Linked DNA regions of Drosophila melanogaster. The protein of the gene in region 2 interacts with the protein of the main gene of each other region in a pairwise test. Each region holds a gene or a part of one and is shown on either strand. Other genes may lie near its edges.

Region 1 (3,754 bases), about 22 Mb from region 2:
AGGCCCTATTTATCAAATTAATTCGAATTCAAAACCTCATACTAATCGGACCATAATATTCTAACTTCTTTATCAAAAATATACCCAAAAGATTGGAAAATGCCCAGTGTAAATGATCTAATGAGGGAACATCTTTTAATCAAAACCACATTTTTATGACGGTACTTTTAGTAGTGCAAACAATTCTAAATTGTCAAGACCTTGTCCGTTTACATTTGATTCACTTATTGGAGAAATGAAGGCTTGCAGGCGCAAGGTTATCTTGAATTCTGCATAAGATAATGCGAAACCCTTCAAGCGGAACTCCTCGTCTTTCTTCCCCTTCCCACGATTGATTTTTCACAAGCGCAAAAAACACCCACGCACATCTCGGGAATTTGTGGCCTTCGATTTGTCCCTGATGAACAGTTAGGCGGAGAGTGGAAAACCGATCGACACTTGTTTACAATCGCAAAATAGTAATAAATAGAGAAAAGCCGTTTTCAAGTTTGCCATAACAACAACTTCAGTGTGACGCTGGCTGGCTGAACTGGGTAGGGGCGGTGTGGGACGCGGACGGCTGTCCTTATGCGGTAACACTTAAAATGAAGTTACGTTCGTGTGTGTGCCGCCAGGCTGTCTACGCTCCCATTCGAGAAAACCGTTGCTTTTACATACATACATGCACAAGTGTAAGGCTCTGCGGGTGGTGTAGTGCAGGGGGATGGGAGAAGCGGGTGGTAGGCCTTAACTAACATAAGATGGCCACACTTTCACGAATCGATCTTTCGTTCATAAAATGCTACAACTACACTACAGCCCATTCACACACATTCACTTAAAAAAATTGAATTATCCAAGCTCACACAATCGCACGCGAGTACCCACAGGTGTAGCTGAACTTTTTCAACGGTTACCACGATTAGCCGCTTTCTTTAGACACAAAACTCATACATTCTTTGCACGTCAAAATCGAAATAATTGTGATAAAAGCAAAAACAATATATAAAACGAAACGAAATGAGATTCTATTTTTAAAAGGTGCACTCACACACGCGCGTACGTTTGGCAGTGAAATGTGTGAGGGAGAGGGGGCGAGCCAGGGTAGTAGTAAAACAGTGCCGAGATTGTGCGCGCGAGCGATGTAGCACTATTGGCTACACGGTCACACACACACACACAGGCGCCAGGCAGCGTACGAATTACGCAAAGTGAAATATCTTTCTCAAAATGGAAAGTGGAAAAGTGACGACGACGGCTATTAGGAATTTTTCATACATCCACGGAACACAAAAAATGTACAAAGGCAAATGCGTATATAAAGTGTATAAATTCATACTAAGATAGAAAACAAATGGGCGAGGGGATGGGTGGCGAAGGTGAAAATTTGACCGCAAAACGAACATCACGAGGCGAACGAGGTCGCGCTGCCGAAAGTCCCGTCTCTTAATGATATCCCACAAATTTTAACGCCAGCCAAGCGACATCATCGTTTTGCACCGCAAAAGGGCCTTTTTCCGGTCGAATTAAAGCAATTTTTTTTTGCACAACACAGAACTCACTTTTTAATCCTATTTTTTTTGCTAGTGTGGCCGCACGCCGAAACGAAGTCACCGTCACTAGATTTTGAAGATAGGTTAACTGTTCTTCGATAACTATCGAAGAACTATGCCTGATGCATGTATGGTTGGTGTACTTGCTAACAGATGAGCAGAGGCCTTCTTAATGTTCCATTTACACAGAATTCCATCATATGGGATTTGAAAAATATGCTTCAAACTTAATAGTTTTTGCACAAAACGCCAATCGAATTATATTTCCAGTTCCAGGGAAAAGATTTCTGGGTGGAAATAAACACACAACTTTCAATTCTTAATTAGACTAAAGTCAAGCCTAGAATATTATATATTACAGTTCAATATAATTTAATACAGAATTTTGTTTTAAATAAATAGTATTTTGTTTATCTGGTATATAACAATGATTTTGCACAAGGTATTTCTTATAGCTATCTGCGCGGTCACACTGTTTTTGTGTGAAAATTCTGTCGAAAAGAATGTATTAAAAGTTCTTTGAATACTAATTCCGTGTAATTCCGACCGTGCTGTTTCAGAAAACTGTGGTTGGATTGGAAACTTAACCAAATTATAAGGTAAAACCGGGGCAGCTTGCCCATCGAAGGACCGCCACAAACGAATTTTCGCGTCGCATTACGTTTTAGTGTTGCCACCTTATACGGAGTGCCGGGCACAATTCCACTTGCTGGCCAAACGGATGCGTTGCGGTCGCGATGTGCACGCCGTTGAATTAATTCCTTCGCCCTGTTGATTGAGTACAGTTCGACTTCTCCGATCGGTGTCCTCCAGACCTAAATTTCGCCGGAATAACGACGGCAAACGGACGGACGGACTCTAGTCGGAAAACGGGCGAGCTGGCAATACTGCCAGTGCACAAAATGATGTGAATCTCGGAAAAGAGGAAAGCTACAGGAAAAGCCAAGGAAAAGCAAGCCGGTAAAGTGTGCAAATGCGAGTGGCAAGCAAAGACCTTTGTTTCCCATTCCATGAAGTTTTCTTGAGTTGTCCGCTGCTGTGAGTGGTCATTATCAGCCATCATCATCATTGTCGTCATCATCACCAAAGGAGCTCGTCGTCATTAGGCCGGCCACCAGCTAAACGGCATTGAGAAAACTCAGCAGCACCTTGTCATCCAAGTCTTGATCTTCGTCTTGGTCTGGATATCCGTATCCAATCACACAGTTCAGGTGGGTTCTTGATCCAGACTCCGAATTCGAATACGAGTCCTAGATTCTCATGCTGATCCTTTTCCATATCTACAGTTATGTCCTCGACCGCCGGAAAGCGCAAGGAGATCTACAAATATCTCGCGCCATGGCCACTGTACTCCATGAACTGGAGTGTAAGGCCGGACAAGCGATTCCGGCTCGCACTGGGCAGCTTCATCGAGGAGTACAACAACAAGGTACAGATCATCAGCCTGGACGAGGACACCAGCGAATTTAGTGCTAAGAGGTATACCGAATATTTGTTTAGCTGATCCCTTCTACTTTCTGTTTTCATTTTATATTTCGTATATTATCTTTAAAAAATAATATAAAATGATAAGCAGTTTTGATATTATTGTAATCATTTTAAATATGAATAGTTATTTGGTTATACGAACCATTTTTCCGAAATCCCCTTCCTCACTGACAGATTATTTCTTCTTCAAATAGCACCTTTGATCATCCATATCCGACAACCAAGATCATGTGGATCCCGGACTCCAAGGGTGTCTATCCGGATCTGTTGGCCACCAGTGGCGACTACTTGCGGGTGTGGCGTGCCGGGGAACCGGACACGCGGCTCGAGTGCGTACTGAATAACAACAAGAACAGCGACTTTTGCGCTCCCCTCACTTCGTTTGATTGGAACGAGGTGGATCCCAATCTGGTGGGAACCTCATCGATAGACACAACCTGCACTATCTGGGGACTGGAGACCGGACAGCCGCACGCTCGCGTCTATGTGGCAGGACACGTGAAGACGCAATTGATTGCCCATGACAAGGAAGTATACGACATTGCTTTTTCGCGGGCCGGCGGCGGTCGGGACATGTTTGCCTCGGTGGGAGCGGACGGGTCGGTGCGCATGTTTGATCTGCGGCACTTGGAGCACTCGACCATTATATATGAGGTAAGTAGAACGCGCGAAAACACAAAAACGGATGACTACATAACGATAAATCCAATAGGATCCTGCTCATACGGCGCTGC
Region 2 (3,754 bases):
AGGAGGCTGGTAACGCCGCCCATCAAGGGTCCTGGGAAGGGCAGTGGCTTCTGGAGGTAGAGGAGCTCATTCAACACAGAGAGAGCCGCCAAGGAGATGGGCTCATGGGCTGGTCGCCACTGGGAAAGGTCAAGTATGCTCATAAGGAAGTACTCCGAGATCAGTTCAGTGCGTATCCAGGAGACCAAGTGCTGCACACATCCTAGCAGGTCCAAAATTGAGGAACTGCGGAGTATATAGAGAGATGTTATAACAAAATGTTGTAATGAACATATGCTCTTTTGAATGTTATGATGACCCACCTTAATTGATTGTCATTTGGCAGCGCTGAGGTTAGACTAAAGTCCATGAGGGTGTTTGGTATGGTTGTTTGGATGTCTTTGCCATTGATGTGGCATACAGCGATTAGCAGATACTTGGTTACCAGGTCCAGAACATCGGGTACACACATGGAGATGCTACAGAAACACACGGCAAAAGGGAGCACAAAATGGGTTAGGAACAGTGCTGTGGCAACTGACCAGTAATTATAGTGCTTTCTCTCAACAAAGCAATATAATATGATAACTGGGTTAACGGTTCAATTAGTTGAGTTTTAAGAGGTCAGCTGACTTTAGTTGTTATGCCATATACATACTCAATCTCAATATAACACTTATTAATAAACCAAAAACAAGAACGGACTGACAAGGTCTGGGATTGTGTTATTCTATGTTGTGCGACGCAATCGTGTATTTAAACAAATAACACCAAAGTTAATAATAAAAATACGCTATGCTCGAAAACATCGACCATCTGATACGCCGTACTCAGTTAAAAATCCAAGTAGTCTTAAACAGACATTAAAAGTATGGGACTACAAAACCTTTTTTAAAAAACATACGATTTTAGCCTCTTCGCTCTATTTACCCACCAGGAGTAGAAGTACTGCTTCCATTCGGTGGTCAGGTCGCCCCTGTTGCTTACCACCTCCTCGGAGGTGATCTTAAGCAGGTTGATGCCAAGTTGAAACCGTGTTTTTGTCAGTTCCATGCAGTGTTGCATGTAATTGGGGTCCTGTTCAGGGAACTCCCTCTTTCCGAGTAGGGCTATCAACTGGGCCAGTGTGTCCCTGTGCCGTTTGGCCACATTTGGAGTGGCTACCAGTTGGGCATACGAGTTCCAAAGGGTCTCCCGCAGCAAAGTCTTGTCCGTGGACGTCAACTGTGTCCATCTCCGCGTGATTGTGTGCTCCAAGGTTGAGGTGCTGAAGAACCAGAGGAACTGATTCTCCGTGGTGTCGGAAGAGGTGGCCACACGGAGGCAAAGTTGCCACGCCTCTGGCTGGGACTTGAAGGCCAAGAGGTTTGTCTCGATCTCTCGTTTCCGGGCATTGGAGGTGCTGGGCTGATAAAACTCCTGCAGCAGTCCCTCCACCGTCGTCAAAGATGCGGCGTGCTGCACAGACAGTGGGTGGGTGGAAACCAATTCCCGGTTAGGTGGAATCACTCTGAATCACTGGCAAAATAGTGCGTTTGGCCCGGAGCCCCCCGCCTCACCATTTTCCGTGTCCTTTACGATCCTTCCGAGTATCTGTGATCTGGATGTTACGGTCACTGTGAGCTCCGCTTGCTCGCGGTTCTAATTCCGATCGCATCAGCAGTCGGCGTCCATTAATTGCATGGTTTTCTTTGTGTCTTTACACAAAAGGTGGCCAAAATCTACTCCGGGAAAGTGAACAAATTCCGCACGGCTGGCAACCCTGGCCGATAGTCAATAAATATCGATAGTTGTTGGTTATGGGTATTTTGAAATAAAAAAATTCTACCTTTCTTATTTTAATTACCTAAAACAAAATTTTTTTTAAATAAAATTGGCTATATAAATGTTTCAGCTAAAACTACGAGCGAGCAGACAAGCATCCAATTCAAATCCATAGTTATACAAATATATATATATATATATATATATATATATTATACAAATGTAATAAATTTTATATTTTCAGTCATTTTAATCTGATAAATTAAAAATGCTGGACTATTCCAAACAGCTCATAACCAGAAACATTTTGAATTTTCCGCCTAACCGCAAATTCGATCGATAGACGATAAAAAAATTGATCGCAGTCGGCGCTTTTGTATGTATTTTTTAATATGGTAGCACTATTCTAATAAGGCAATATTGTTAGCAAAACGGGACACTGATTAACTGTTAGCCTGCAAGTTAGGAAACCTGAAAGTAAAGGATTTTCAATTGATATTTCAAGACGTTCCTATCCGATCTGCCCAACAATCTGCCAGTATCTCATCATGGAAAACCAGGTCCGTAAAAAGGCGGCAAAACGATCGCGATCAGCGGATGGCGACGCCAACAACAATCTCACGCAGCGGAAGGTATTTGTGAACCAGAAAATGTGCGACTCCCGTGATCCTCGGAAGATGAAGGAGGTCCATGGTATGTAAATTGCCTTATTCGCACCAACTTATCTTGTTTCGATCCTGTAATGGAGGGGTGGGAGATTGGAGAGATAGCGCCGCTCAGAGCGCAGTTATCCCGGACTTGTTGCTCACTTCAGTTTGAACAGTTAGACGCGAGAACAAAAAATTGAGCAAAGCAGCGACCTCTAATTTACGATGAATTTACGCATAAATTTTTTTTTTTAATTTTTTTCTTGCTGTTCTTTTGCACGTCCCATCGAAGCTGAGTGTCTAACCCTCCTTTAAGTGTCTAACTCAACTGGAACTCTCCGATTTTCTATTTCTTTCGCAGAGAAGACAATCAAAATGCTTTTCGATGGCGCAGCCGGCAATAGGCAGGGTCAGGGCCAGAATGCCCTGAAGCCATTGGTACAAGGCCAGGAGGAGCCCGCCCTATGCGAGCAGTACTATCTGCTTGGCGATGGTTCCATCGTTCTGCGCAACCTTCGCACCGACTTGTCCAATCCGCGCCTGGAGAGAGTGAAATCGCGCTGCTGCCAGCGCCAAACGCTCATCCACGACATATGCGTCAACTGCGTGATGGATCTCTGCGAGGAGTGTGGCTACTCCTGCGGCGAGTGCTCCAGGTTCATTTGCCGCAGCTGCGTGACTTTATTGTGAGTTAAGTCCTTAAAAGAAGCATCCCCCTTGGGAACACCTTTTATTTGAAAATCAATCGACCATCATCTTATTTCCAGTGGTAATCGAGTTGAAGAAGAGAAGGATCCCCTGTGCGAGCACTGCCAGATGTTCTTCAGCTAAGGCTTTACACAATCCAGCACTTATAAAGTCGCGGTGCTTGTTAAATTTTAAGTTCTGAAGCAGTACAAATTTGGGACGACACAATGTCAAATGTATTACCAACCAGCTCCGTTTCACTTATGTCCTGTAACTGCTTTCTTTCCGGCCGATAGCCTGGATGAGATCCTGGCACAGGAGACTGGGCTGGGCTGCTCGGTCTGACATCAGGTTACTGTGTTCTTTTAACAGCACAATCAGGTTGTCTGTGAGTGCATTATACAGATCCACAAATAGCTGCCAACTGCCGCCGTGGCTGATCAAGTACTTGATGTCTACATCCAACATGCTGCCAAGAAGGCAATCCAGGGACTCTCCTGTGAGAGGGACCGTACGATTCCCGGCCAGATTGCGCTGGGCCTCTAGGAGTCATAGGGCATGACCAGAATATGCCAAGTCTTTGGGTTCCGGTTGAAATGGTCATTAAGGATCTAAAGAGAACATTATTAACTAGGGAAGGAGAATAAGGTACTGGGGAAGACTCACCGCTCCCTTCA

What was found. The genes of interacting proteins can lie anywhere in the genome.
Region 1: the proteins of CG13373 (region 2) and Usp2 interact in a two-hybrid assay, tested with the Drosophila melanogaster proteins (one large-scale study listed by BioGRID).

Annotation. Positions count from the first base shown.
Region 1 is NC_004354.4:22,453,651-22,457,404, reverse strand, and holds the start of Usp2 (ubiquitin specific protease 2), read right to left. Parts: upstream 1,603-3,754; 5' UTR 1,542-1,602; intron 960-1,541; exon of another isoform or gene 846-959; intron 515-845; exon of another isoform or gene 214-514; intron 1-213. Other genes in the region: wap (wings apart), read left to right, coding at 2,821-3,011, 3,215-3,674, 3,733-3,754. UniProt on the Drosophila melanogaster protein: Hydrolase that deubiquitinates polyubiquitinated target proteins. Required for preventing the activation of the Toll signaling cascades under unchallenged conditions. Essential for bodily calcium homeostasis.
Region 2 is NC_004354.4:474,856-478,609, forward strand, and holds CG13373 (uncharacterized protein), read left to right. Parts: upstream 1-2,128; 5' UTR 2,129-2,291; coding exon 2,292-2,436; exon of another isoform or gene 2,437-2,751; coding exon 2,752-3,076; exon of another isoform or gene 3,077-3,157; coding exon 3,158-3,221; 3' UTR 3,222-3,336; downstream 3,337-3,754. Other genes in the region: ebo (ellipsoid body open), read right to left, coding at 1-225, 303-458, 914-1,437, 1,539-1,541.